Callithrix jacchus: one gene and its partners. The protein of the gene in region 1 purifies or fractionates together with the protein of each later gene. This does not show direct contact. Links are inferred from orthologs where the notes say so. Each region holds a gene or a part of one and is shown on either strand. Other genes may lie near its edges.

Region 1 (7,737 bases):
CTTGCATTCTCCTCAGGATGAGCACACCTTAAGCCACAGGACTGGATCTATGAAAGAGAGATGATAAACTGATCTACTGACAATCTAGTTATAGATGATAAACCTATCTACTGTCAATAAACTGATCTATTAACAGTGATGCGATAAACCTGAGTCACCAGAGATTTACTCCTCTGCATGCCAGGGAACTGACCAAGCTTGTCAACCTTGCAGGAAGATGACAGACGCTCACAGCTACAGAAAAATCACAAATAAATGATCCCTGCAAAGCAATGGATGGTTAGGATGCCTGACTGTGGTGTGAGATGCTTTACCTCTCTGACCTTCTCATCTGGAAAAAAGCAGTAGGTACCATATGTTAAACACAATATGTGAGACACTGAGCTAGCTACTGCACACATATAACTCATCTGATCTTTCTAAAAGTCCTGGAGGTGTAGATATTACTCCTGTGGCAGTCTTAGGGATGTGCTAATCAGATCTCCCTTCAAAAGAGAACAGGGTATTAGGAGTGCAGGAAGCCAGCAGTCTCCATCTTATCCAACCTGAGGCTACTCTCTCCCCAGGCTGCCAGCCAATAAACTGAACACACCAGGGGTAGGAGTCCACTCATTTCTGCCCCATGCTAGACTCTTCTAATGAGCAATCGCTGCTTTGCTGAGACTTCCTCAAAACTACGCTGTAGTCTAAGGCTCTTCCTGCTCAATCCTCCTTCCTTTCGCCTCTCTTTTCACCAGCCAGACCAGCATCATAGACTGAAAATTTCCCTACCTACTACTATTTCCTTGCTCCTTTATTGTCATTTCTCCCAATAAATACCTCGCATATTTCTGTCTTGGCATCCATATCAAAGAACCCAAAATAGTATCACCCCCATTTTACAGATGAGAAAACTGAGTGGTTAATACATCTAAGGTCGTATAATTAGGATTCAAACTCACATCTCTGACTCCCAAGCCCAAGTTTTTAACCAACAGTTTAAACAAAGAAAGTGTAAAGATATAATTGAAAAACAATACTCTAAAAATTCAGATGACGGGGGCCGGGCGCTGTGGCTCACGCCTGTAATCCCAGCACTTTGGGAGGCCGAGGTGGGTGGATCACGAGGTCAAAAGATCGAGACCATCCTGGTCAACATGGTGAAACCCCGTCTCTACTAAAAATACAGAAAATTAGCTGGGCATGGTGGTGTGTGCCTGTAATCCCAGCTACTCAGGAGGCTGAGGCAGGAGAATTGCCTGAACCCAGGAGGCGGAGGTTGCAGTGAGCCGAGATCGCACCATTGTACTCCAGCCTGGGTAACAAGAGCGAAACTGTCTCAAAAAAAAAAAAAAATTCAGATGACTATGCAAAAGGCCAAGTTGTGCCATGAGAAGGACACCATATCAGGAAACTACTCCATTATTTATTATCAGTGATGAGTCCTTTAATCTCACTCTCCCTATTTTATGGATGTCAAGACTATCACCAAACCTGCTTACCTCACAAGGTAGTTGCAATAATCAAATGAGATTCTCCCTCCAAGAGAAAAGGGAAACAAATACAGTATGGGAGAAGATTCTGCTAACCACAAGGCAAGTGAAGGCAAATGGATAATGGCTCTGAATCTGAAGAATTCTACTGAAGTAGCACTTCCCTCAAATAGGCCCCCAACTCTGGGGATGGAAAAAACAAAAAGGACAAAGTAAAATATTCCAAACCTCCAATGGCTTTCCTGCCTCAAGACTGTGCCTTGTTCATGCCCACATTCCCAGAGCCTGTAACAACAGTGCCTGGCATGCATTAGGCACTCAGAAAATCATTGCTGAAAAATAACAACAACAAAATAATAAGAAAAATAAAAATAATAAAAAACAAACAAACAAAAGAAAATCATTGCTGAATGAGAACAATTTTTTTTCAAAGACCCCCAACCCACACCTTTCCGTTCCTCTGAGACACAGGTCCATTCCTCCCACATAGCCTCATGTGCAAAGCAGGATACCTGGCAGTTCATGTTGTCCTCTGCCTCAATGAGCTTCCCACGATATACCTCGCCGGTGTTCGTTTCGCATGTCACAATGTGTCCCTCGGCCTCATGCAGTACTTTAATCGGCACACCAATAGACATCTTGGCAGGAAGAGTTCTAATGAGAGAGGCAACAGTCAGTTCATCATTCAGAGACTGAGAAGGCATGCAGCACATACTGTGCTTCCTTCAAGGCCTAGCCCTCCATAAAACTTAGCAAAAATGCCAAAACTGAATTTTTTTTTTTTTTTGAGCCAGAGTCTCTCTCTGTTGCCAAGGCTGGAGTGCAGTGGCACAATCTAGGCTTACCACAACCTCTGCCTCAAGGGTTCAAGAGATTCTCCTGCCCCACCAAGTCAGGCTACTTTTTTAGTATGGGGTTTCACCGTGTTAGCCAGGATGGTCTCAATCTCCTGATCTCGTGATCCACCCATCTTGGTCTCCCAAGTGTTGGGATTACAGGCGTGAGCATTGCGCCCGGCCCAAAGCTACATTTTCTACAAAAACAAAAACAAAATAAAATAAAACAAAACAAAAACAACTCAGCTCCTGGCTTGGAGGAAACTATCTGGCAAATATGTGCAAGATGTGGGGTGAGAAGGAATGGTGGGCTGGACAGAGATAAAAATAGAAATGAAAAGAGAGCCTCTCCCATCAACCACATGTCCCTACTACCCTATGTCCCTTAATCTTCATCTAAATGACCATTAGCGAATACTGTTCGTGTTGCGGAGTGGGGGTTAGAATGTTATTTGTTGCATTGTTATTGTCAACCGTAATTGTACATGATTACATTTTGAAAATTATATAGGCCTGAGCTGTCCAATACAGCTCATGTCCACATGTAGCTATTTAAATTAAACTTACTTAAAACAAAATAAAATTAAAATAAAAAACCCAGTCTCAATCCCAGTGGCCATATTCCAAGTGCTCAATGGCCATATGTAGCTAGTGGCTCCCCTATGGAAGGTGCAGATACAGACCAAAGGACCCATGAACACCTAGGAGAGGGGGCTGCACTTTTAATTCAGCCCTTTAACCCCTCACTTACTTTACCATCAAAGATGAGGAAATATCAAAGTGACAATATGCTCTATTCAGGAAATGCTTGTCATGGAGGAAAATCAGGGAAATCACCTGATTTGACCTAATTAAAAGAATCAAGCAGCCAGGCGTGGTAGCTCAAGCCTGTAATCCCAGCACTTTGGAGGCCAAGGCGAGCGGATCACCTGAGGTCGGGAGTTCAAGACCAGCCTGACCAACATGGTGAAAGCCCGTCTTTAAAAAAAAAAAAGAATCAAGCAGTGAACTTTTTATTGAGATAAGCAACGACTCAAAGTTGGAACGTAAGTGCACTTAACAGAGGAGAACGTGAGGTTGAAGAAACAGGTTCCTTTGGTGAGGATCCCTTGCTTTCAGCTTTAGGAGTCTACATTTTATACTGAAAATAGTGGGGAACCACTGCACGATTTTAAGTAAAGAATGACGTAATGAAAAAAGCAGCAGCACTGCCGGGCGCAGTGGCTCACACCTGTAATCCTAGCACTTTGGGAGGCTGAGGCGGGCGGATCACCTGAGGTCAGGAGTTCAAGACCAGCCTGACCAATATGGTGAAAACCCGTCTTTAAAAGAAAAAAAATTTTTTTTGAATAAAAAAAAAAAGTGGCAGCATTTATTTATAAAATGGATAGAATGTAAGGTTTAGAAGCAGAGAAACTTGTTAAAACTTCTGCAACAGTGTGGAAACCATGAGGGGACCACTACCTGAAAGGGGGCTGGAGGCAGAGATGCAAGTAACTTTTAAAAGAATGATCGGCCGGGCGCGGTGGCTCACACCTATAATCCCACCACTTTGGAAGGCCGAGGCCGGTAGATCCCTTGAGCCCAGGAGTTCAAGACTAGTAAGGGCGACATGGTGAAACCCATCACTACTCCAAAACAAAAAGAAAAAATAAACAGAAAAAAGCACTCACAGGATTTGGGGAAAGGAGACAGTCAACCAGAAATGACTTCAAGATTACTGCCTGGAAGCTCTGAAAAACACTGACCTGGAGAGATACAAAAAGTGAAAGCATGCACGCTGAAGCTAATGAACTTACTTCTAGGCGCTAGTGAGGCGATGCTCGCTGATGTCTGGGTGGCCCAAGCTTCCCGCTTTCTTCCCTCCCCGAGCCCCGCAGAGTTCCATGCAGCGAGTGGCCCCTCGACCCCCCCTTGCCCGTCCCCAGCCTCACCAGCTCCGGCCTCCTTCTCCTCTTCGGTGCGGCGGCAAATGAGTCTACGGCTAAGGCGTGAGTTCAGCGAATGGCGGGCCCAGCTCCCAGAATTCCAATCGTTCCCAAAATGCAGCGCGCAGGGCCCACCTCCTTCCTTTCCCCATTGGTAAGTGCGGTCTCGTCTCCGCTTCCTCTTCGCTGCGCCCGCCGGCTGGGAAACTAGGGCACCGCTACGATAGTTCCGGCACCAGAAGAGACGGCTGATAACTGGGCCCGAGGGCCGCCGGAAACAACGACCCTTGGGCCGGCAACGAGCCGCAGAGGGTGCTCGCACTTCCAAGCACCCCACACCAAGGACAGGCTGGACTGCAAGGCGGAAACCCGGGGCCTGGGCCGTCAGACCCGGGGCCTGGGCCGTCAGACCCGGGGCAGCAGGAGGTTGGGCCAAGGGCCAGGACTTCCCCCTCACAATTTAATTTTTTGATCCCGGCACCGCTAGGTAAGGGGCGCCCTGAGCGGGGCGAGGTATCTCGTACGGATAAAATTAGGTATAGAGTAGGGCGGCGGCCGGCTCAGGATCATCCCTAAAGGCAGTTGAAAGAGAGTTGTGGCCGGGCGCGGTGGCTCATGCCTATAATCTCAGCACTTTGGGAGGCCGAGGCGGGTGGATCACGAGGTCAAGAGATCGAGACCATCCTGGTCACCATGGTGAAACCCCGTCTCTATTAAAAATACAAAAAATTAGCTGGGCATGGTGGTGTGTGCCTGTAATCCCAGGTTCTCGGGAGGCTGAGGCAGGAGAATTGCATGAACCCAGGAGGCGGAGGTTGCGGTGAGCCGAGATCGCGCCATTGCACTCCAGCCTGGGTAACAAGAGCGAAACTCCGTCTCAAAAAATAAAATAAAATAAAAATAAAAAAATAAAAAGAGAGTTGTTTGGCGCTTCGGCAATGCATTGGGCGGGACCGGTGCTTACACCTAAGGCTGCAAAGGAGCGGGTCACGGCAGAGGCGGAGTTTGCTGAAGAGACGAACCTCTAGGAAGCATCTGCACTAAGTGCACGAGCTTCGGGGCGGGCCTCAAGGAAAGGGGTGGGGCTTCCGGGGCCCGTGTCCTGGTGGGCAGCGCGTCTACGCGAGGATTGGGCGACGGGGCGGGGCCACCCGACGCAGAAGCGGCAAATGGCCGGGGCGGGCTTAAATCGAGAGACTGGGGGCGTCTAGAATCAAAGTTTGGGGCGGGGCTTATGGAAGGGGCGGGGCCTTTAGATTCGCGAACTAGAAGGGCCGGGGCGGGCCTTGGGGAGGCCCAGCCGCCGCCTCCAGTTCTCCCCACCGCATCGGCGGCGGTGGCGGCGGAGGAACTGGAGACGCACCGGCCGCCCTCCCGCCCCAGCCGAAGCGGAAGCTGTAGCCCGCTCTGGGCTGGGGCCATGGGCGCCCCGCGCCGCCCGGGTCATGAGGACGGAGGCGGAGGCAGCGGGGCCACCGCTCGAGCCCGGTCAGTGCCTCTCTGTGGGCCCAGTCCTCACCCTGGGAACGAGGGGGACTCCGCCCTAGTGCGGGGCAGGGTCCCGCCTCGCCCCCACACCCTTCTCGCTCCAGTCAGTGGGGGTTTCCCTACACTCGCAGGATTGCGACCCTTGTCAGCATGGTGGGAGGGTCCGGGTAGCAGGGGCGCCACCTTCCCCAGAAGCGAAAAGTCCTGCTGGAGCCGCCTTGGGAGCTTCTGTACCTTGGGGAACCGTGGAAGACAGGCTGAGAAGGGCAGGGAACTGGCCGAGAGCACCGAGCAATGGAAGGGCCGGTGTCCTGGCCTCCCAGACTCAGCGTTTTGTCTTGCTCCTGTTCTTCGCCCTCTGGTTCCCTCTGCCACGCGGTAGCCTGAGCCCCTTTGGGGCGGAGACCCGGACTTGTATTCAGTGCCTTGGCGGTTAGTTTGCTTGCCCAAGAAGTAGGGGAGGAGGAAGACGTGATTCCTGTCCTGCTTAAGGGCAGGGCTGTTGAGAAACGGAGCGCTAGCTAGTAAACTCAGGTGAAGTGCCAACTGTGGAAGAGGTCAACAGCATGTGGGACCCTGACCTTCAGGTGTCACTCCCAGGGAGTTTTCTTTTGTGTTTGCTGTTTGGAGTAGGGGATTTACATTCCTCCTCCTGCAGTTATCTAACCCTGTGATCTTAGACAAGGTGCTTGTCTTTCCTGAGCTTCAGAGGAGGAATGGCTCACATTCGCAGGGAGCTTTCTGAGGCAGTTGTTTACATGCAATGCCTCGTTAATCCTCATAACGACTCATTGAAGTAGGTGCCCACTAGGATGTGCATTTTTGCATCTGAGCAGACTGAGTCTGAGATGGGTTAAGTATTCAAGGCTAGTGCACTACATGTCTTCCTAAGTGACAACCACTAAAGTCAGGCCAGGGCCTTCCAGGCAGCCCCTTGGCTCCAGGCATCAACATCTGGCTGTGGGCTAAAGCTGTTATGGGGACAAATGCCAAGGCCTCGCCTAACCTTATCACCCCCAACATGAGCATCTCTAGGTCTGATCCGCCTTTGCCAAGACTGGAGATGGCCATGTGGGGGCTGCTGGGCCTCTGGATCAAGGAATTCTAGAGCAGGGCAAGAGGAGGAGGGGCAGCTGAATTTCTGAGGACCCTGGAGAGCTGCTGTCCTGTGCCATATTTTACAACTGAACACAGGAAGGCATGGGCAGAGTCACAGCCTTGCAGAAGATAGCCCAGCTAGTCAGTGTCACAGCCCAAGCCACAGAGTAAGGAGGGACCCTCACACAGAGGGCTGTAGTCTGGAAGCCTGGGGTGTGGAACACTGAAGTGACAAGTCGGCCTGGGCATCTCAAGGTATGAGGTCTTTTTGGAAAATGCCTTCCATTCCCCAAGTATATCTGAGTGCCTGCCCTGGGCCGAGGGCTGGGAAGAGGCAAATGCAACCTCATCCCCATCTGCCACTGAAGAATTCTCCTTTTGTTCAATAGGGGAAAGCAGATGTCTCTTTAAGGACTCCGTATTGAGGGGTCCTGAGAGTGAGAGGGATGGAGACAACATTAACATTTCAGAGTAAGGCAAGCTTGTCCAGCCTGCAGCTTGTGACCCAGGACAGCTTTAAATATGGCCCAACACAAATTCATAAACTAACTTTTTCTTTTCTTTTTTTTGAGAATGGAGTCTCGCTCTGTCACCCAGTCTGTAGTGCAGTGGCACAATCTCAGCTCACTGCAGCCTGTGCCTCCCAGGTTCAAGTGAGTCTCCTGTCTCAGTTTCCTGAGTAACTGAAACTACAGGCACACACCACCAAACCCGGCTAATTTTTTGTATTTTTACTAGAGATGGGGTTTCACTGTGTAAGCCAGGATGATCTTGATCTCCTGACCTTGTGATCCGCCCGTCTTGGCCTCCCAAATTGCTGGGATTACAGTTGTGAGCCACTGCACCAGCCCACAAATTCGTAAACTTTATTAAAACATTATGAGATTTTTTCTGCAATTTTTTTAAAGCTCATCA
Region 2 (7,215 bases), on another chromosome or scaffold:
AGCCTCCCAAGTAGCTGTGACCACAAGACATGCACCAACATGCCTGGCTAATTTTTGTATCTTTTGTAAAGATGGGGTTTTGCCATATTGCCCAGGCTGGTCTTGAACTCCTGAGTGCAAAGTATCTGCCTGTCTCAGCCTCCCAAAGTGCTGGGATTACAGGTGCGAGTCACCATGCTTGGCCATCTCAGCCATCTTCTTTGCATGAGACATTGTTAGCCTTTGCAGACCTGGGTGGTGAGAGGGAGACCATCCTTGTTGAGCTGAAACCCACTTGGTGTTAAGTGAAACCCTTTGCTGGTGAGAGATGGGCAGTACTGGGTTCAGATGGAGTATGTGGACTGGGTTTGCCATGCCCTTCCTTGTGCCCTCTAGATACTCGCCCTGCACCGGTGAGGCATTTTCTGAGAACCTGTTCCCATCTGAGTAAAGCTGGGACAGTCATAGTTGCCACCTCATGCGGTTGTTGTGAGGAAGTGAAGTAGTCTGTAAGGCATTTGATGGAGATGTGGTGACTCCACGCCTATAATCCCAGCAGTTTGGGAAGCCAAGGCAGGAGGATCACTGGAGCCCAGGAGTTCGAGATCAACCTGAGCAACATAGGAGACCGTGTCTACAAAAAATAAGAAATTAGCCATGTGTGCTGTTGCATACATGTAGTCCCAGCTCCTGTGGAGGCTGAGGTGGGAAGATTGCTCAAGCCTGCAGTAAGCTATCATCATGCCACTGAACTCCATCCTGGGCAATAGAATGATACCCTGTCTTTAAAAAAAAAAACGCTTTATGGTATCCTTTTTTTTTTTTTTTTTTTGAGGCAGAGTTTTGCTCTTGTTACCCAGGCTGGAGTGCAATGGCGTGATCTCGGCTCACCGCAACCTCCACCTCCTGGGTTCAGGGAACTCTCCTGAGCCTCAGCCTCCTCAGTAGCTGGGATTACAGGCACACACCACCATGCCCAGCTAATTTTTTGTATTTTTAGTAGAGACGGGGTTTCACCATGTTGACCAGGATGTTCTCGATCTCTTGACCTCGTGATCCACCCGCCTCGGCCTCCCAAAGTGCTGGGATTACAGGCATGAGCCACCGTGCCCGGCCGATGGTATCTTAAGTCAAATATTTGTAGCCATCCCAGTTAATGTTTCATGACAGGAGGCAGGAAATAGCCACGAAAGAACAGGACGTAGAGTAAGAGTGACATGGGAAGACATTTAGAAATGTGGTCAGAGGTGGCAACATTTCCTCTGAGACCTGGGTGACTAGAAGGAGGCCGCCATGTAAACCTCAGGGGAGGGATTTTCAGATAAAGGGAGCAGCCAGTGCAAAGGCCCTGGGGCAGAATTGGTGTCTCAGGCCTGGGGGCCAGTGTGGTTGGGGATCGAGGTGGAACGTGGATAGGGATGATGAGGTGGGGGAAATTTGCCAGGTTCATGTCATGCAGTCCTGTGTCAGGGTGCTGGTGGCAATGAAAAGAATCACTCATATCTGTTGAGCGTTTACTATGTGCCAGATGCTGTTCTGAGCACTTTGCATGTATGTCCACATGTTTGTTACATAGCAGCTCTCTGGGGTGGGTACTATTACTGTCCAAATCTTACAGAAGCGTATACTTGGCCAGTTGAGTGGTTCCTGGCTGCTTCTGTGATTATTAGGTCTTCAGAGATTGTGGACTCGAGGCATTCTGGGTACCCCGTGAATTGGCTGGTGGTCTTCCATCTTGCTGCACTTCTGAAAGGGGGGCTCAAGGTCTTCTCTTTCATCACTGCAGAGCTAAAGAAGTCCCTGTACGCCATCTTCTCCCAGTTTGGGCAGATCCTGGATATCCTGGTGTCACGGAGCCTGAAGATGAGGGGCCAGGCCTTTGTCATCTTCAAGGAGGTCAGCAGTGCCACCAACGCCCTGCGCTCCATGCAGGGCTTCCCCTTCTATGACAAGCCCATGGTGAGTATTGTGGGTATGGAGGCAGGGTGTGGGTGTGGGTGTGTGAAATGTTATAGGAGACTGGGTGGGCCTGGAGTAGAGGAGGGGATATGAGGGTTAATTGGCCAAGGTGAGGCTGGACCAAGCTCCACTGCACCTTGCCTCATTTCAATAACAAATTTTTGTTTGGCTGGGCACCGTGGCTCATGCCTGTAATTCCAGCACTTTTTTGGGGGGGGTGGGGGGATGTTGTTTTGCTATTGTTGCCCAGGCTGGAGTGCAATGGCATGATCTCGGCTCACTGCAACCTTCACTTCCCAAGTTCAAGTGATTCTCCTGCCTCAGCCTTCCAAGTAGCTGGGATTACAGGTGTGTGCCATCACACCTGGCTAATTTTTTTAATTTTTAGTTCAGAGAGGGTTTCTCCAAGTTGGTTAGTTTGGTCTTGATTACAGGTATGTGCCACCATACCTGGCTAATTTTTTTTTATTTTTAGTAGAGACAGGGTTTCTCCATGTTAGTCAGGCTGGTCTTGAACTCCCGACCTCAGGTGATCCGCCTGCACCTCAGCCTGTCAAAGTGTTACCGTTGTGAGCCACCATTGCCTGGCTTTTTTTTTTTTTGAGACAGTCTTGCTCTGTTGCCCAGGCTGGAGTGCAGTGGTGTGATCTCGGCTCACTGCAACCTCCTGGGTTCAAGTTATTCTCCTACCTCAGTCTCCTGAGTAGCTGGGAATACAGGTGTATACCACCATGCCCAGCTAATTTTTGTATTTTGGATGGAAATGGGATTTTGCCATGTTGGTCAAACTGGTCTCGACCTCCTGGCCCCTGATAAGGTCCAATTTTGAATCTTGGCAATTGGGCTCTGAATCCATGCCCTTAACCCATTCTGCTCTCTGTTTGGTAGCGTATCCAGTATGCCAAGACCGACTCAGATATCATTGCCAAGATGAAAGGCACCTTTGTGGAGCGGGATCGCAAGCGGGAGAAGAGAAAGCCCAAGAGCCAGGAGACACCAGCTGCCAAGAAGGCTGTGCAGGGCGGGGCAGCTGCCCCCGTGGTGGGAGCTGTGCAGGGGCCTGTCCCGGTAAGCCAGGGCCAGCAGACCAACCCTCCTACTGACAGGCTTTCCTTAGCCACATGGACTGGCTTTGGGACAGGGTGGGGAGAGTTCTCCCCGTGGGGCTTCAGACCCCTCCTTTCCATTCCCTTATAGAGATTATGTGTCCGTCTCTCTTTGGGGGGTGTTGAGCCCCTAGATGATACTATCTCCACTCAGAACGCCTGTGTTGAGCCCCTAGATGATACTATCTCCACTCAGAACGCCTGTTCCCGTGTGACTGTTTCTCAGTGTCTTTCTTTCTTCCTGGCTACGTCTTGGTATCGCTGTCTCCTTGGCCTTGATTTTGTTGCCTGTGTCTTTTTGTTGTTGTTGAGATGGAGTCTCACTCTGTTGCCCAGGCTGTAGTGCAGTGGCGTGATCTCAGCTCACTGCAACCGCCACCTCAGGTTTAAGCAGTTCTCCTGCCTCAGGCTCCCAAGTAGCTGGGAGTACAGGCATGTGCCACCACACCTGACTAATTTTTATATTTTTAGTAGAGATGGGGTTTAACCGTATTGGCCAGGCTGGTCTTGAACTCCTGACCTCTTGATCTGCTCGCCTTGGCCTCCCAAAGTGCTGGGATTACAGGGATGAGCCATCATGCTCATCCTGTCTTTTAAGTCATTGTGCATGTAGAAAATCCAAGTATCTACTAAGCAACTGTTAAGATTGGTTTAGAAAGGTCACTGGGTATAAGGGCAATGTGGAAAAAATCAGTTTTATTACGTATTTATTAATTATTATTATTTTGAGACGGAGTTTCGGTCCTACTGCTCAAGCTGGAGTACAGTGGCATGATTTTGGCTCACTGCAACCTCAGCCTCCTAGGTTCAAGTGATTCTCCTGCCTCAGCCTCCCTAGTAAGTAAGTGGGACAACTGGTGGGTGCCACCATGCCATGCTAATTTTTTGTTTTTTTGTTTGTTTTTTTAGTAGAGACAGGGTTTCACCATGTTTGCCAGGCTGGTCTTGAACTCCTGGCCTCAAGTGATCTGCCCACCTCAGCTTCCCGAAGTGCTGGGATTACAGGCTTGAGCCACTGCACCTGGCCCTCACACAATGAAGTTTCTAGAAGAAAACAGGAAAATGTCTTCATGACCTTGGTGAGGGCATGAAAAGTGGAAACATCCTGTTTTCTAAACAGAATACAAAGAGCACTAAGTACAAAAGAAAAGATGGACAAGGCCGGGCATGGTGGCTCACACTTGTAATCCCAGCACTTTGGGAGGCCGAGGCGGTTGGATCACGAGGTCAGGAGTTCAAGACCAGCCTGGCCGACACAGTGAAACCCCATCTCTACTAAAAATACAAAAATTAACTGGCATGATGGCAGGCACCTGTAATCCCAGCTACTTGGGAGGGTGAAGCAGGAGAATTGCTTGAACCCAGGAGGTGGGGGTTGCAGTGAGCCAAGATCACACCACTGCACTCCAGCCTGGACAACAAAGCAAGACTCTGTCTCAAAAAAAAAAAAAGAAAGAAAGAAAGAAAAGATAGACGAACCGGGCCCACTCCTTGGGTCTCTGATCCTCTGTGTCTCTCTGGCTTTTGTCTGTGGCTCTGGCTCTGACTGAGTTGTGCTCTGTTCACTGCCACTCACACTTTCTCCACGTCACCTATGGCGTCCGATTACTGTGGGCTCCTGTTGTTAACCTCTCTCTGCAGTCTTCACTGCACGCAGCTTTCTGTCCACTTTCCACTTCAGATTGTGACTCCAGCCCCTGTCTGTGCTGCCTGCCATCTGCGGTCTTCCCTCTTCCCCTGGCTGCCATGCGTTTCGTTCTGCACCTGCCCTGAGTGTCCCTTGCCATCTCTGCCCTCATTTGTATTTGTTTATATTTTTTGGGACAGATTCTTACTCTGTCGCCCAGGCTGGAGGGCAGTGGTACAGTCTGGGCTCACTGCAACTTCTCCCAGGTTCAAGCAGTTCTCCTCCCTCAGCCTCTCTAGTAGCTGGGATTACAGGTGCCTACCACCAGACCCAGCTAAAATTTGTATTTTTAGTAGGGAGCGGGTAGCACCGTGTTGCCCAGGCTGGTCTCAAACTGCTGGGATCATAGGTGTGAGCCCCCGCGCCCGGCCTACCACACGTTTCTTCCTGCCCCTTCCCTGACTGCCCCTTTCCATCTCCGCCCCTTCCCCGACTGCCCCTTTCCATCTCCGCCCCTTCCCCGACTGCCCCTTTCCATCTCCGCCCCTTCCCCGACTGCCCCTTTCCATCTCCGCCCCTTCCCCGACTGCCCCTTTCCATCTCTGCCCCTTCCCCGACTGCCCCTTTCCATCTCCGCCCCTTCCCCGACTGCCCCTTTCCATCTCCGCCCCTTCCCCGACTGCCCCTTTCCATCTCCGCCCCTTCCCCGACTGCCCCTTTCCATCTCCGCCCCTTCCCCGACTGTACCTTTCCATCTCCGCCCCTTCCCCGACTGCCCCTTTCCATCTCCGCCCCTTCCCCGACTGCCCCTTTCCATCTCTGCCCCTTCCCCGACTGCCCCTTTCCATCTCTGCCCCTTCCCCGACTGCCCCTTTCCATCTCTGCCCCTTCCCCGACTGCCCCTTTCCATCTCTGCCCCTTCCCCGACTGTACCTTTCCATCTCTGCCCCTTCCCCGACTGCCCCTTTCCATCTCTGCCCCTTCCCCGACTGCCCCTTTCCATCTCTGCCCCTTCCCCGACTGCCCCTTTCCATCTCTGCCCCTTCCCCGACTGCCCCTTTCCATCTCTGCCCCTTCCCTGACTGCCCCTTTCCATCTCTGCCCCTTCCCCGACTGCCCCTTTCCATCTCTGCCCCTTCCCCGACTGCCCCTTTCCATCTCTGCCCCTTCCCTGACTGTCCCTTTCCATCTCTGCCCCTTCCCCGACTGCCCCTTTCCATCTCTGCCCCTTCCCTGACTGTCCCTTTCCATCTCTGCCCCTTCCCTGACTGTCCCTTTCCATCTCTGCCTTCCTTTGATTTGGGGCTTTTGTGTTGTTGTTGTTTGTTCTGTTTTGCTTTTGAGACAGACTCTCACTCTGTCACCCAGGCTGGAGTGCAGTGGCACAATCTCTGCTCACTGCTACCTCCGCCTCCCAAGTTCAAGCGATTCCCCTGCCTCATCCTCCTGAGTGGCTGGGGCTACAGGCGCACACCACCATGCCCAGCTAATTTTTTGTATTTTAGCAGAGACAGGGTTTTACCATGTTGGCCAGGATGGTAAAACCTCTATCTCCTGACCATGTGATCCACATGTCTTGGTCTCCCAAAATATTGGGATTACAGGTGTGAGTCACTGCGCCCGGCCTGCTTTTGTTTTATAAGAGATAGTGTCTCGCTCTGCTTCCTAGGCTGGAGTGCTATGGCACAATCATGGCTCACTGCACGCGGTCTTGACCTCCCAGGTTCAAGCGATCCTCCCACCTCAGCCTCCTAAATAGTTGGGACTATAGGGGTATGCCACTGCCCCTGGGGAGTTTTTAAGTTAGCTCTTTCTGATTTAATGTGCCACTAGACCCTCAGTTGGTTTTGCTGTGTCTGGCCCTCTCTGGGTGCCTTTTTCGCCTCTTTCTGGATGTTTTTCCTTGCATTGCTCACCTGCTGGGTTTCCTCTCCTGGCCTCTTCTCTGCCTCCTGGGGAGGCCGTAACCACGGACTCTCCTTCCTCTCCCCACAGGGCATGCCACCAATGACTCAGGCACCGCGAATCATGCACCACATGCCGGGCCAGCCACCCTACATGCCGCCCCCTGGCATGATCCCCCCTCCAGGCCTTGCACCTGGCCAGATCCCACCAGGGGCCATGCCCCCACAGCAGCTCATGCCGGGACAGATGCCCCCTGCGCAGCCTGTGAGTATCTAGTCCCGTCCCCACTCCACCAGGTCTCATATAAATAGAATACAAGACTAGAAAGGGACCAGCTGCGGGGCAGTTGTAGGTTGAGTGGTCTGGGCAGGACCCCCCGAGGGGGTGGTACTGAATGATGAGGATGTAGTAGTGGGGTGGGCCCTGCGCGGAGAGGAATTGGCATGCTGGTTGGAGGGTCCAGAAGGTTAGGGCAGTCTGGAGCGGTGCCAGCACCTAGGTTCATTCTGTGAGCTATCGAGCACCTGCTTATGTGCCAGGCCCCAGGCTGCACTGCAGCGATGCAGCAGGGACTGAGACAGAAACCTCTGCTGTCCTGTGGCCTACAGTCTATAGGGGGAAAGGGATGGGGGACAGATG
Region 3 (6,538 bases), on another chromosome or scaffold:
GCATCTTGTTTTGGTCTCGCGGGCGAGTGGGGCGCGCTTCGGGGGAGGCGCTTGGGCGCGAGACTAGGCGAGAAGAGCAGAGCTGCGCGCGCACTCGGGAAAGGGGGAAGAGAGCGGGGTCCAGGCGGGGGGTATTAAGCCCCTTGATCCCCCTTGTTGCCCCGACTGGGACGGAATAAGGGGAGGAAATGATCGAGATGGCCGCGGAGAAGGAGCCGTTTTTGGTGCCGGCCCCGCCGCCGCCGCTCAAAGATGAGTCTGGCGGAGGGGGCGGCCCCACGGTGCCACCGCACCAAGAAGCCGCCTCCAGGGAGCTCCGCTGCGGGACGGAGCGTGGGCCGGGTCCTCGCGCGCCGTCTGCGGGGTCCCCGGCCTTTGGGGTCGGCAGGGAGAGCCCCGGGGCCGCGGCCAATCCCCGGGGCGGCCCCCAGGCGCAGTCGCACGGAGAGGCCCGCCTGTCGGATCCCTCGGGGCGAGCCGCTCCTCCGGACGTGGGGGAGGAGCGCCGGGGAGGGGGCGGGACAGAGCTGGGTCCCCCTGCCCCCCCTCGACCCCGCAATGGCTATCAGCCCCACCGGCCACCTGGGGGAGGCGGGGGCAAGAGGAGAAATAGCTGTAATGTAGGGGGAGGCGGAGGAGGTTTCAAACATCCGGCCTTCAAGAGGCGCAGGCGAGTGAATTCGGACTGTGACTCTGTGTTACCCTCCAACTTCCTCCTGGGGGGCAATATCTTTGATCCCCTGAACCTGAATAGTCTCCTGGATGAGGAAGTGAGCCGCGCCCTCAACGCGGAGACCCCTAAGTCATCCCCCCTTCCGGCCAAAGGGCGAGATCCAGTGGAGATCCTCATCCCCAAAGATATTACTGACCCGCTCAGCCTCAATACTTGCACTGATGAGGGCCATGTAGTTCTTGCTTCGCCACTCAAGACTGGTCGGAAGCGGCATAGACACCGGGGACAGCACCACCAGCAGCAGCAGGCAGCCGGAGGGAGTGAGACCCACCCGGTGCCGCCCACAGCCCCTCTCACCCCCTCACTCCACGGGGAGGGCACCACACAGCACCCGCGGCACAGGGGCCAGAACCGGGATGCCCCCCAACCCTATGAACTCAACACAGCCATTAACTGCAGGGATGAAGTGGTGTCTCCCCTTCCATCTGCTCTGCAGGGTCCCTCAGGCTCCCTATCAGCCCCTCCAGCTGCCTCATTTACCTCTGCACCCCCGTCTTCCTCCTCCCGACATCGCAAACGTCGCAGGACTTCCAGCAAGTCGGAGGCAGGGGCTAGGGGTGGAGGCCAGGGTTCCAAGGAAAAGGGCCGAGGGAGTTGGGGAGGTCGCCACCACCAGCACCCACTGCCTGCAGCAGGCTTCAAAAAGCAACAGCGCAAGTTCCAGTATGGGAATTATTGCAAGTACTATGGGTATCGCAATCCTTCCTGTGAGGATGGGCGCCTTCGGGTGTTGAAGCCTGAGTGGTTTCGGGGCCGGGACGTCCTAGACCTCGGCTGCAATGTGGGCCATCTGACCCTGAGCATTGCCTGCAAGTGGGGCCCGTCCCGTATGGTGGGCCTAGATATAGATTCCCGCCTCATCCATTCTGCCCGCCAAAACATCCGACACTACCTGTCTGAGGAGCTGCGTCTCCCACGCCAGACTTTGGAAGGGGACCCAGGGGCAGAGGGTGAGGAAGGGACCACCACTGTCCGAAAGAGGAGCTGCTTCCCAGCCTCGCTGACTGCCAGCCGGGGCCCCATCGCTGCCCCCCAAGTGCCCTTGGATGGAGCGGACACATCAGTCTTCCCCAACAATGTTGTCTTCGTCACGGTAAGAGGGTCCAGAGGCTCTTGGAATAGGGGCCAAGTGTGAAGATGAGATTAACTGGGAATGTAGCAGGGAAGGTTATGACCCAGATCCTTTAAAAGGGGGGTCTGGGTTGGCAAGTGAGAGCCTCTGCTGGGCATCTCTTCCCTTTTATAACCCGGAAAGGTGATCTCTCTACCTTGGGGCCTTGACCCTGGAGTCCTTTCTCATGACCTCAAGGGTCTCCAAAATAGAGGAGGACTTTTTTTGCCCAGCTCCTGGCTTGGCCTATAATCCACACTGGTCCACCTTCCCTTTAAGGCTGCTGTTACTGCTCACTAGGGGATTCAATCCAGCTGGAACTTGGTCCTCAGATTTACTGAAGAAGCCTGAGAATGGGAGTCAGGCATGGAATGTCTTCTGGGGAGATTAGGGTAGCGGCAGACTAATACTGGCATTTCTGCCCATTGATAGAGACCTTGTTCTCATCAACAGCTTTTGTTTTCCTAGACAGTTTGTTGAAGAGTGTCAGGAACCCAAGTGGCTTGGCTGTAGATCCTCTCCACACTGACCCTAGATAGTAGGAGAGGGAAGAGCCAGAAACTACACAGAGAGGAGAGTCCCATGCCCACCACAGTGTCCCCTGACTGCACACAGCTCTCGGAAAACATCCCAGTTAGGCCGTCTGCTGGGATCTTTGGCATTGTGTTGGGTTAAGCCTGAAGAATGGTCTTTCTAGAGGGCTGTGATGAGCTTATCTTCTAGAAAAGGTTTCCTGAAGGATGTGGCTCTTCATATCTCTCAGAGGAAGCAAAGAATAGGCCTGAAACTTTGCCAACCCCAACTGCAGAGAAGGAACCACAGGTCTGCCTGTGGTTTGAAACCTGGGTTAGTTAGTTATCCTTGCAACTAATTGCAGTCATTCCACCTAAAGTCTGTGGGTGAGAATAAGCACGGGATAGGGTCCTGGGACCTCAGCTTTGGAAGACTTCATGGATAATTTGCACCATTTAAAATTACCCAGGCTCCCTCTAGACGTTTTTTGGCTTACACCAGTAGGAAGAAGCAGAGGCCAGGAAGGTGTAGAGGAGAAAACAAAACTCAAAGAGGGCCCCTTTTGGGAGTTAGTCTGAGAAGAATATGACCATGGGCTAAAGTGAGGCTACAGGACTGTGTGTCGGCCTCAGGGCAGGTTGCCTGGAAGCAGGGGTTCTTTGATTCCCTCTGTTGACCTCACTGCCGATTCCTGCCCCCAGGGTAATTACGTGCTGGATCGAGATGACCTGGTGGAAGCCCAAACACCTGAGTATGATGTGGTGCTCTGCCTTAGCCTAACCAAGTGGGTGCATCTGAACTGGGGAGATGAGGGCCTGAAGCGCATGTTTCGCCGGATCTACCGGCACTTACGGCCTGGGGGCATCCTGGTCCTAGAGCCCCAACCCTGGTCATCCTATGGCAAGAGAAAGACCCTTACGGTGAGTTGGATGTGATGGAAATGGGGAATAATCCTTTGGTTGAGGCAAGAAAAGGCCTCAGGGAATAGAGAAGGAATTTCTGAACAAGGTGAAAAGGCCCTCCGGCTGGGCATCACTCTTGGCCATGGGAGGTGGCCAGCATGCTAAAGTGGTCCTTTGCTTCTCTCCTTAGGAAACAATCTACAAGAACTACTACCGAATCCAGCTGAAGCCAGAGCAGTTCAGTTCCTACCTGACATCCCCAGAAGTGGGCTTCTCCAGCTATGAGCTTGTAGCCACACCCCACAACACCTCTAAAGGTAAGGCTGGTTTATTTTGTTGGGAAGGCTTGTCCTGACTGATAGAGTTCAGATCCCATGGGGAGGTGCTGCCAACCCCTTCTGATCACTGTCTCTCCCCTCAGGCTTCCAGCGTCCTGTGTACCTGTTCCACAAGGCCCGATCCCCCAGCCACTAAGTGGCCCCTTGAACAGAAAGTGTGAAGAGGCTGCCTTCGCTGCTCATAAGGACCTGGGGGAAGAGGAAAGCGTCCCAAGGTCTTTCCTTTCTGACTCCAAAAATAGTTTTCTTCTTGGATCTGCAAAGAAAGCTTTTCTTCCGTCGCTGCCGCTGCCTCAGCCTCCTCCCTACGCCTCTGACACTTGTGCAGCAAGGCTGGCTGTGCTGGAGTCCCCATCTTCCTCTCCCACAGCCTGCCAGGCTGGATGGCATGGACTGTTTGCTGACCTCTGTTCTCCTAGGGCATGGGAGGTGGAAGGATATAAAATTCTCTAGCCCTTTCCTCCTATTCTCCCAAGGAGAGAGATTCCCATATCTCAGCCCTTTTCCCTAGCTGCATTTCAGTGGACCATGGATAGGTGGACTGAAGGTTAGAGGGGGAAGCCTGGTAGGGAGGCACGAAGGTACTGTGAAAATCTTTCCCTCTGCTGTCCCCCAGTGGGAGAGGGGGTTGGGTTTTGAATGTGAGAACAGCACAATAAACTTGATGTCTAGGGCAGTGGCCCCCACACTTGTGTTGGGTATTTTATAGCTGGTGGGGAAGACGTGGTGCTTCCTCTTCCGTCTCAAGGAAGACAATTTTTCAGTGGCTGGGTTGATTGTTGCATGCTAGCCAAGTCCACACAAAAGTACACAGAAGCCTAGAAAGGCAAAGTATGTAATGCAAATTTTGGTGTGTAACTTGGAGTCTGCCTTCTCTCCCCAAAAAAGCCCTGTGAGGGCCTTGGGCAGAAGGCTAACTCTGATTTTTGTTTTCCTGAGATGGAGTTTCACTTTGTTACCCAGGCTGGGGTGTGCGATCTCAGCTCACTGTAACCTGCGCCTTCCAGGTTCAAGCAGTTCTCCTGCCTCAGGCTCTGGAGTAGCTGGGATTACAGGCCACAAGCCCAGCTAATTTTTTGTATTTTTAGTAGAGTTGGGGTTTCACCATGATGGCTAGGTTGGTCTCAAACTCCTGACCTCAGGTGATCCGCCCACCTCAACTTCCCAAAGTGCTTACAGGCGGAAGCCACCTCGCCCGGCCAGAAGGCTAACTTGTCAATGGAGGTAGGAAAAAGTGCTTTGGATCAAATACTCATAGATAGACCAGACACCTTTTTGGTGCTGTGGAATCAGATTTATAGGCAATTAACATGAAGCTCTTCAGGGGCTTGTCAGGTGTCACTGGAACTTGGAACTTTACTCAGGTGCAACAGGATAGGCAAGGCCCTTAAAGGTGAAAAGGAGATAAGTTAGTAACTCAGTGCAAGCAGCGGGCTTGCAGGCTCCTGAGACAGGTTATCAGAGAACGCCTTCGTGAATTGTGATAGGCTAGGCCCTGCATTTCCACAGATCAGAATGAGTGGTACAGAGAACAATTGCCTGATATAAAACAGGCATTAGCTGTGGCTGAAGTCAGGGAGAGGTGGGTAAGGTTGTGAACTGAGGGGCATCTAAACCTCTAACGTGGACAGTTTTCTATTTGCCATGACTCCACCAAGTTCCTAAAAAGCCTCCAAACTCAACTTCAGGCAGCTTCCAACCTGAGGCTAAGTGGACAAACCCCCTAGAGAGATTTTAGGCCTCCAAGAAGAGTCCCATTTATTAGCAAAATTACTTTATTCTGACAAATAGTTTAACACAAAAATACGAACTAGCCCGCCAAGGATCGTCGGGGTCTATGCTTCCCATCGCCTCAGTGTCCGGTGCATGAGGAACGTGTCCTCTGAAGGGCGGGGCCGGAGTTGAAGCCGGAGAGGGGGCAGACCGTCCAGGGTCAGGTGTGGAGATTCATAAAATAGTGTTTCTGGGTCACACAAGATGGTCATGTCTGGCCCCGGCCCAGGTGGTTCCTGTTGGGAGGTGGGGCCCAAAGCAAGGTTACACTGGGAGAAAGGATCCGGGGAAGAGGGTACATGGAGGAAGCCCCACGCCCAGATCGCATCACCTTCGGGGGCGGGGCTCGAGCCTGCGGCGGCAGGAGAGCCAATTTCTCCCTGAGCGCGGCGTTCAGAACCTGTTCCTCCGGCACCTGCAGGCTCACCAGGTCTCGGAAGAGCCTCCTGGAGCGCGGCACGTTCAGCCCTGAGAGCGCAGCGGGGACAGAGGTGAGCGGTGCCCCCTCGCCCTGACTCCCGCGCGCGCGGCCTGCCGCCCGCCCCCCTCACCCTCAGACACGCTCTCCTCCAGGCCGCAGCGGATCTGGAACGACTTTCTCAGCTGTTCCTCCACGGCTTTCGCGGCATCAAAGTGACTCCCGGCTGCGGCTCTCAGCTCCAGACCCAAGGCCAGGCTGCTCTGCAGCGCGGGCATCTCCAGCTCCTGCGACGCCGCGGGCTGCGGCTCGGACCGCACCGGGGAAGGTGGTGCCAGGCGGAAACGGACCTGGGAGCAAAGGGCAGGGCGGTGACCAGGTGGGCGCGGGGCCATCGCGGGCCGTGGGCCAGCCTCCCTCGCTCACCTGCCGCCGCTGCCGACCAGCACCCCGCCGCTCCGCCCGCTCCTTCCGCCGCCCAGGTCTGTCATGCGGCGGCTTGGGGCTGTCAGGCTGCGGACTCAGGCTCAAGTCCAGGCCGGGCTCGGGCACTGGGGCTCGGGGTTCCGGGACTCGGGGCTCCGGGGGTGGCCCCGGGACCGCTGCGGCTTCTTCCCCGTCCACCGACTCCAACTCTGAGTCCCCACAGCCTATCATTGGAGATGCCTTGGGGATGCGGGGGGGGGGTCTCAGGCGGTCCAAGTTTAGGGTGCACAGCCTCTGGCCACCTTCACCTCTCCCCCGCCCCTC
Region 4 (7,215 bases), on another chromosome or scaffold:
AGCTCAGGGACCTGGGACGGGCTAGTGCCACCCACTGAGAGAGGGCAGGACCCCGGGGGAGGCCCTGGGCCTCCAGGCAGCCGCTGGACTCTGCCTGTGCTCTTGGTCTCTGGGACGCTGCTATAGTGAAGGCACAGGTGCGCCAGGGCTGAGCTACCTGCGAGTCACTCAGGCAGGGACCGAGGTGGGTGCTCCTTTGTCCCCATCCTCAGAGCTCTTCACCCTCGGGTGCTGGGACACCACCAGCCAGTCAGGGTCACCGGGCAGGAAGGGCCCTTCGGCACCCTGCTCTGGGACTCAAGTGGGGCTGCCTGAACAGGGCCCACACGTGTGTGGGGTGAGCGCTCAGCCGCCTGGACCCCAGGAACGGCTGCTGGGGTGGGGGCTGAGTCCCTGCCAGGCCACCTGGCTCTCTCCACGCAGTGTCCGGCATGCACACTCACAAGCCCCCTGCCTCCCCACTGCCCTGAGCCCAAGCCCAGGACCTGTCAGGGCCTCCCGGCCGGGGCCTGCAGCTCAAGCTGCACCTGCCCTCGCCATCCAGCGCACCTGCCCCGGGCCTCTGCCCTACACGCTGCTGTCGGGAGGCCGGGCACACGGGGCGTCCCCGCCTTCCCGCCTTCCCGCCCCCCCGCGGACACACGTCTCTATCTTCCATCGCAGCTTTCTGAACTGGCAACCATTTCCACTGCTGAGGGTCCCAGACGGAGCCGCCCCTAACAGCCGCTGCTCCCCGTCCTCTTCCTTCCGAGGCTAAGACGAGTGGAACCCAGTTTCAAGGTTAACGGGAGAGAGGCGTCAGGCTCGCCACACCCCCACTTCCACTCTTGCTTGGCAAGAATTCCCAGAAGCTTCTACAACACTGGACTGCGAGGCACAGAGGGGCCGCCACTCACATACCAGGAGCCCCAGGCACAGAGGCGGCCAGGCAAGGAGGGCACAGACTGGGGCTCTGCTGGGGAAGGGGCCACTGGGTGAGATGGGTGCTTATCGCGTCCAGCCTGACAGCTCCCAGACACAGCGCCAGACGCTGCAGGCGGGTGAAGGATGGCCGCCAAGGCCATCAAACAGCAGCTCGGGGACGGGGTCTCAGGGCTGTGGCTTCCGTGCCGGAGCCCAAACCCATTCACGAGGCGGCAGACTCACCCTTGTAGCCGGGGCGGCCGATCTTCACAAACTTCTTCACCTCAACCTTGACCTTCTCAGGTGCAGGCTGGGCGGGGGCCTCCTTGGCCTCCTTGGCGGCTCGCCGGGCCCTGCGGGCAGGATGGACATGGTGCTGGGGCCCTCCACGCACAGGCACCAGGGACACGGGCCCAGGGACTGGTAGCCCCGACCTCAGAGCTCACTACACACCAAGGGATGAGGAGGGCCAGGGGCCGGGGAGGGGCCCTGGGGTTTGGACCAGGACAGGGGTGGGACAGGGATGTTCTCTTCCTGTCACGCTGCACTGTCCCTGCCTGGGGCCCTTCCCACAACCCCACGCCTCTGCTCTTCTCTTTTTTTTTGAGACAGAGTTTCACTCTTGTTGCCCAGGCTGGAGTGTAATGGCACCCTCTTGGTTCACTGCAACCTCCGCCTCCCAGGTTCAAGATTCTCCTGCCTCAGCCTCCAGAGTAGCTGGAATTACAGGTGTGCACTGCTGTGCCAAGCTGAGTTTTCTATGTTTAGTAGAGATGGAACTTCACCATGTCGGCCAGGCTGGTCTCGAACTCCTGACCTCAGGTGATCCACCCACCTCAGCAATACAGCCTATGTTCCCTAATGCTCCCCAGAGACCTTACTCCAGCGCCCATTCAGGCCCAGGCCAGGCTGGTTTCCACGCTGTGGAGCCGTGGCCCGGGGGCTCATGGAGACGGGCTGCTGGAGCAGCCGGTGAGACGCGGGCGAGGTACTCACAAGTTGGTCTGGTGCTTCTTCCCCTGGGTATGTGCCAGGTAGCTCCCCTGGAGTGGAAAGGAAACACATGTGACTCGAGGCCGAGGGGACAGACACGGGGCAGGAAACACGCGTGACTCAAGGCCGAGGGGACAGACACGGGGCAGGAAACACGCGTGACTCGAGGCCGAGGGGGCAAGACATGGGGCAGGAAACACGCGTGACTCGAGGCCGAGGGGGCAAGACACGGGGCAGGAAACACGCGTGACTCGAGGCCGAGGGGACAGACACGGGGCAGGAAACACGCGTGACTCGAGGCCGAGGGGACAGACACGGGGCAGGAAACACGCGTGACTCGAGGCTGAGGGGACAGACACGGGGCAGGAAACACGCGTGACTCGAGGCCGAGGGGACAGCACGGGCCGCACCTCGTTGTTGTGAAGCGTTAGGCAGAGCTTGCATTCATAGGAGCCCAGGTGGTTTTTCATGAAATACGGGTCCTGGAAGGGAAGAACAGGTACCCCGTTAGACAGAAGATAATGGCCTGCCCTGCGGTCGGGGCCCTCAGAGGTGGGACCCCCTTTCTGTGGAGGCCTGGCTGTCCCTGATGGATCTGGCGAGGGGCCTCGTGAGCACGCGTGTGGCCACCTGGGGCTGTGGCCTAGGCTTTGAGCAGTGGGTTCCCAGGGAGCCCTGGCACCACCTTCCTGGTGGTTCTGAGGCAGAGAGGCAGAGCCAGGACAGCAGCGCCTGTCACTCTGATGCAAGGAGCCGTCCGCTGTCCACGCCACCAGGCCAGGGGTCAGCACAAGGCAGACGCAGGGATGAGAAAAGCAATGGGTGACATGGAAGGCCACGCGCATCCACGGGCCCTGAACTGGGGCAGGCAGGCACACACTTCTCGTCTCAGACCCTGGAGTTCAAACCCTAACTCCACCCCCTGCGGCCTGGCACCCCTCCACCGTGATCTCATCTGGAAGACAAGGAACGTCACAGAGCCTATGCTGCAGGCCAGGCCCGTGGGGCATGTCAGGGAACACGGCACTGGTGGGTCCTGGTGGCATCCAAACCTAAGGAAGCGCACGCTGGCAGGGTCTCGGCTGGGATCCACCCTCACAGGGGCCTGGGCGGTGTCTGGGGACATCTGTGTTTGTCCCGATGGGGGGAGCTCCTGGCACGGAGCCAGTGGGGGAAGGGATGCTGCTTGGCACCCTACAGTGCCCGGGACGGCCCCAGCCCAGTGCTGCAGCCCCGACGTCCACAGTGCTGAGGGGGACCCGGCCCACCCCACCTCTGCACAAGGTAAAACCAGAGCCTTCACTGCATCTGACTGGACCGACATCAGCTCCCCCCATTTCCACAAACTGGATGATGCCCAACAAGGCTTTGCACAGAGCCCACCATTTCCACCCGGGGCTCAGAGCCACAGAGGGTCTGCTGCCTGGCGTGGCTGGATGGGAGCTGCGGCTGCATCGCCCTGCCCAGCCGGCCGCCCACCTTGTTGATGTCGATGGTCTCCAGGGCCAGCTGCCGGAGGCGCTCCCTGCGGTCACGGTTGCTCTCGGAGGAGGAGGCCACGCCCCCGCTCCCGGTCTTGCCCCCAGGGCGATGCTGGAAGTCCATGGTGACGGCCTCCGGGCTTCAGCAGACTGGGAGACACCTGTGGAGGAGTGTGAAGACGGCTGAGAAGGCGGGGCTGCTGCTGGGACCTCCTGGGGCACCCAGCCTGTGGAGGCCAAGAGGAGACTGAGAAGGACGGCTAGAACTCGGGGCTGCTGCTGCCACCCCAGGGCCGGGCAGTCAGGTTGGGGCCAGCAAGACTGCTCCTCACCCTGCACTCCCAGCGCCAGGGTCTCACCAGCCCTGAGGGGCCACCTGCTAGTGCACTGACTCTCTTCCAGGGTGCCAGGGCCCACTGTGGGCCGGGCACAGACATGAGGAAGCTGGAGCCTGCCTCTTGACCGTGCAGGAGGGTGGAGGGGAAGCCACTCCAGCCCACGGTGCCAAGGCCTGGAGACCTGAAATGGCGACAGGGAGTCAGAGAAGGCACAACCAGGGAAGAGGCGGCCAAATTCTCACCACCGAGTCACCACCTCCAGGAAGCCATCGGGACTGCCCGAGCCCCCAGTGTTCACACCTTCCTCTCAACTCCCTCTAGGGTTGGCTACGCTTACTTGTCCCAACCTGAGTTCTATCTCTCGGAATCGGCTGTGAATTTTCTGGGCAGAGAGGGAGACGTGGATCTTCCGGTCCTCACTGGGTAACACCGGGAGATCAGCCACATCTGCCTGTGGCGCAGGAGGGCTCTCCTGAGTCCCAAACACCCGCTTCCCGCCGCAGCCCTCTGCCGCTGCTCCACACCCTCAGGCTCCAGGCAGACCCAAGCTCCAGGCAGCTTCCCCTCCTCTCCTGACGCTTTTCCCTGCCCCTTCAACACCTGCCCCGGGCCCTGGTTTAAAGGCCCTGGGTGAGCTCAGGAGACCGAGTGAATCATTCATGGCCCCCAAAGACGTCCGTCCACATGCGAACCCCTGGGCCCTGCGAACCCTCACACGGCAGGAAAGGGAAGCGCAGGTGGGCCTGAGGATCTTAAAACAACGGGTGATCCTTTCAGCATCCTCCCGAGAGGAGGGGGAGGCTGGGGGACAGAGAGGCTGTGCTGTGCTGTGAACAGGGAGGACGAGGGGAAAGGCGGGAAGAGTTCCGCTAACAGAAGGGATGGAGCCTCAGGGACTGTTTGCACTTCCAGCCCCAGATCCAGAAGCGGATGCAGCCACGTCACCTGAACTGCCGCGTCTTCGGTGATCTGCCACAGCGGCCGCAGGTGTGCAGGAGCACGCTGAGGTACAGGCCAGCTGTGCTGCTGACCTGCGGTGGGACCTGAGGTCACTCCTCAGCTGTGGGGGCCCAGGACCCTCCCACCCAGTTAGTTTATGACAACGATCCAGTGTGGTAACCGGTGGGACGGGCTGCTGACCTGCGGTGGGACCTGAGGTCACTCCTCAGCTGTGGGGGCCCAGGACCCTCCCACCCAGTTAGTTTATGACAACGATCCAGTGTGGTAACCGGTGGGACGGGCTGCTGACCTGCGGTGGGACCTGAGGTCACTCCTCAGCTGTGGGGGCCCAGGACCCTCCCACCCAGTTAGTTTATGACAACGATCCAGTGTGGTAACCGGTGGGACGGGCTGCTGACCTGCGGTGGGACCTGAGGTCACTCCTCAGCTGTGGGGGCCCAGGACCCTCCCACCCAGTTAGTTTATGACAACGATCCAGTGTGGTAACCGGTGGGACGGGCTGCTGACCTGCGGTGGGACCTGAGGTCACTCCTCAGCTGTGGGGGCCCAGGACCCTCCCACCCAGTTAGTTTATGACAACGATCCAGTGTGGTAACCGGTGGGACGGGCTGCTGACCTGCGGTGGGACCTGAGGTCACTCCTCAGCTGTGGGGGCCCAGGACCCTCCCACCCAGTTAGTTTATGACAACGATCCAGTGTGGTAACCGGTGGGACGGGCTGCTGACCTGCGGTGGGAGCTGAGGTCACTCCTCAGCTGTGGGGGCCCAGGACCCTCCCACCCAGTTAGTTTATGACAACGATCCAGTGTGGTAACCGGTGGGACGGGCTGCTGACCTGCGGTGGGACCTGAGGTCACTCCTCAGCTGTGGGGGCCCAGGACCCTCCCACCCAGTTAGTTTATGACAACGATCCAGTGTGGTAACCGGTGGGACGGGCTGCTGACCTGCGGTGGGACCTGAGGTCACTCCTCAGCTGTGGGGGCCCAGGACCCTCCCACCCAGTTAGTTTATGACAACGATCCAGTGTGGTAACCGGTGGGACGGGCTGCTGACCTGCGGTGGGACCTGAGGTCACTCCTCAGCTGTGGGGGCCCAGGACCCTCCCACCCAGTTAGTTTATGACAACGATCCAGTGTGGTAACCGGTGGGACGGGCTGCTGACCTGCGGTGGGACCTGAGGTCACTCCTCAGCTGTGGGGGCCCAGGACCCTCCCACCCAGTTAGTTTATGACAACGATCCAGTGTGGTAACCGGTGGGACGGGCTGCTGACCTGCGGTGGGACCTGAGGTCACTCCTCAGCTGTGGGGGCCCAGGACCCTCCCACCCAGTTAGTTTATGACAACGATCCAGTGTGGTAACCGGTGGGACGGGCTGCTGACCTGCGGTGGGACCTGAGGTCACTCCTCAGCTGTGGGGGCCCAGGACCCTCCCACCCAGTTAGTTTATGACAACGATCCAGTGTGGTAACCGGTGGGACAGGCTGCCGAGCTCACTGCAGCATCACAGTGACAAGTTCAGACGCCACGAAAGCCCCCCTGGAGACGCCCATTTTCACATATTGTCACGTAAACGTCAAGAAACCACCATCGTGACCATCGCTATCCCTTCACAGACAACATTCCAATGGGAAAAAGGAGACGGTGGCACCAGAAGGACTGTCCTCTGCCGGGAACGCCACCCTCTGGCCCACAGGACCCTCCCTGCCTGGGGCTTCTCGGCCACGCGTTCTTCAGGACCGGGGGAACTGCACCCCATCAGCGCCGGCGCTGGGGCCGTCAGCCGCAGGCCAGTCCAACACCGCCATCCCTGCTGCGGCGCCAGCTCAGGGTGGCCTGGGAGGCTCTGTCTCTGACTGGCCCGTGGGCCGGGCGGGATTAGTGGGCACCACCTGGACAGATTCGTGACGGGCCTAATTTCTCTCTGGAGGACATTTAAGCACCTCCTGGTCAAGGGGCATGAAACTCCCATCAGGGATGAGTGTGGGGAGCCCAGCGAGCAGCGTCCCACCAGGCCAAGGAGGCACCTGCGTCTCCACACACAAAACCAGTCCTCCATTCATCTCAGCACCCAGAAGCCCCCGCCGGGGACCGTGCGGGAAGGCAGGGAATCGGCCTTCTTCTTTCGAAGATGTACCCCAAGAACCCAGGAGGGGCCGGTGCTGGGAGGCACACCCCAGACCTCTGTGATTCATCAGGCACTGCAGCCTCCAGGAAGATGGCCTGCCCCCTTCATGAGGAAGGAATTCGGCAGCATGAGAACGCCCCGCTGTCCCTGGCCGTGGCCTCCCCTGGACCACGCCGCCATCCTGAGGCTGAGCTCTGCAGAGCCATCATTGGTCTCTACCCCCAAGCCTGCGCTCTCCCCCACACTGCCATGGCATCCTCATGGCCAGTGCCAGGGGCTGCTGGCAGAGAGAAGAGCAGAGGGCAGGATGTGCCTTCGGAGGCCCCAGGGCCCAGGAGGAACGGAGCTCAGTCACGGGAGTGACCTGCGCTTTGCTCCTCCATGCAGGAAAAGGGGGCCCGGCTTCTGGGCCAGGA

What was found. Proteins that work in one complex are often made in the same cells at the same time.
Region 2: the proteins of SNRPD3 (region 1) and SNRPA purify together in Homo sapiens (affinity purification with mass spectrometry; 3 studies listed by BioGRID and IntAct, with this or other methods). This does not show direct contact. The link is inferred for Callithrix jacchus from reciprocal best matches to the Homo sapiens genes SNRPD3 and SNRPA.
Region 3: the proteins of SNRPD3 (region 1) and MEPCE purify together in Homo sapiens (affinity purification with mass spectrometry; 3 studies listed by BioGRID and IntAct, with this or other methods). This does not show direct contact. The link is inferred for Callithrix jacchus from reciprocal best matches to the Homo sapiens genes SNRPD3 and MEPCE.
Region 4: the proteins of SNRPD3 (region 1) and SF3A2 purify together in Homo sapiens (affinity purification with mass spectrometry; 4 studies listed by BioGRID and IntAct, with this or other methods). This does not show direct contact. The link is inferred for Callithrix jacchus from reciprocal best matches to the Homo sapiens genes SNRPD3 and SF3A2.

What each region holds. Positions count from the first base shown.
Region 1 is NC_133502.1:195,104,307-195,112,043, reverse strand, and holds the start of SNRPD3 (small nuclear ribonucleoprotein Sm D3), read right to left. Parts: upstream 4,339-7,737; 5' UTR 4,243-4,338; intron 4,057-4,242; exon of another isoform or gene 3,982-4,056; intron 2,127-3,981; 5' UTR 2,111-2,126; coding exon 1,985-2,110; intron 1-1,984. Other genes in the region: protein GUCD1, read left to right, coding at 5,471-5,724. UniProt on the Homo sapiens protein: Plays a role in pre-mRNA splicing as a core component of the spliceosomal U1, U2, U4 and U5 small nuclear ribonucleoproteins (snRNPs), the building blocks of the spliceosome.
Region 2 is NC_133523.1:36,298,194-36,305,408, forward strand, and holds part of SNRPA (U1 small nuclear ribonucleoprotein A), read left to right. Parts: intron 1-1,765; coding exon 1,766-1,938; intron 1,939-2,826; coding exon 2,827-3,006; intron 3,007-6,666; coding exon 6,667-6,840; intron 6,841-7,215. UniProt on the Homo sapiens protein: Component of the spliceosomal U1 snRNP, which is essential for recognition of the pre-mRNA 5' splice-site and the subsequent assembly of the spliceosome. U1 snRNP is the first snRNP to interact with pre-mRNA.
Region 3 is NC_133503.1:13,291,497-13,298,034, reverse strand, and holds the end of MEPCE (7SK snRNA methylphosphate capping enzyme), read left to right. Parts: 5' UTR 1-188; coding exon 189-1,826; intron 1,827-3,058; coding exon 3,059-3,277; intron 3,278-3,449; coding exon 3,450-3,576; intron 3,577-3,680; coding exon 3,681-3,733; 3' UTR 3,734-4,283; downstream 4,284-6,538. Other genes in the region: PPP1R35 (protein phosphatase 1 regulatory subunit 35), read right to left, coding at 5,433-5,606, 5,702-5,838, 5,922-6,138, 6,215-6,445. UniProt on the Homo sapiens protein: S-adenosyl-L-methionine-dependent methyltransferase that adds a methylphosphate cap at the 5'-end of 7SK snRNA (7SK RNA), leading to stabilize it.
Region 4 is NC_133523.1:2,122,518-2,129,732, reverse strand, and holds part of SF3A2 (splicing factor 3A subunit 2), read right to left. Parts: intron 4,799-7,215; exon of another isoform or gene 4,661-4,798; intron 3,539-4,660; 5' UTR 3,502-3,538; coding exon 3,376-3,501; intron 2,379-3,375; coding exon 2,307-2,378; intron 1,947-2,306; coding exon 1,900-1,946; intron 1,257-1,899; coding exon 1,147-1,256; intron 1-1,146. UniProt on the Homo sapiens protein: Component of the 17S U2 SnRNP complex of the spliceosome, a large ribonucleoprotein complex that removes introns from transcribed pre-mRNAs.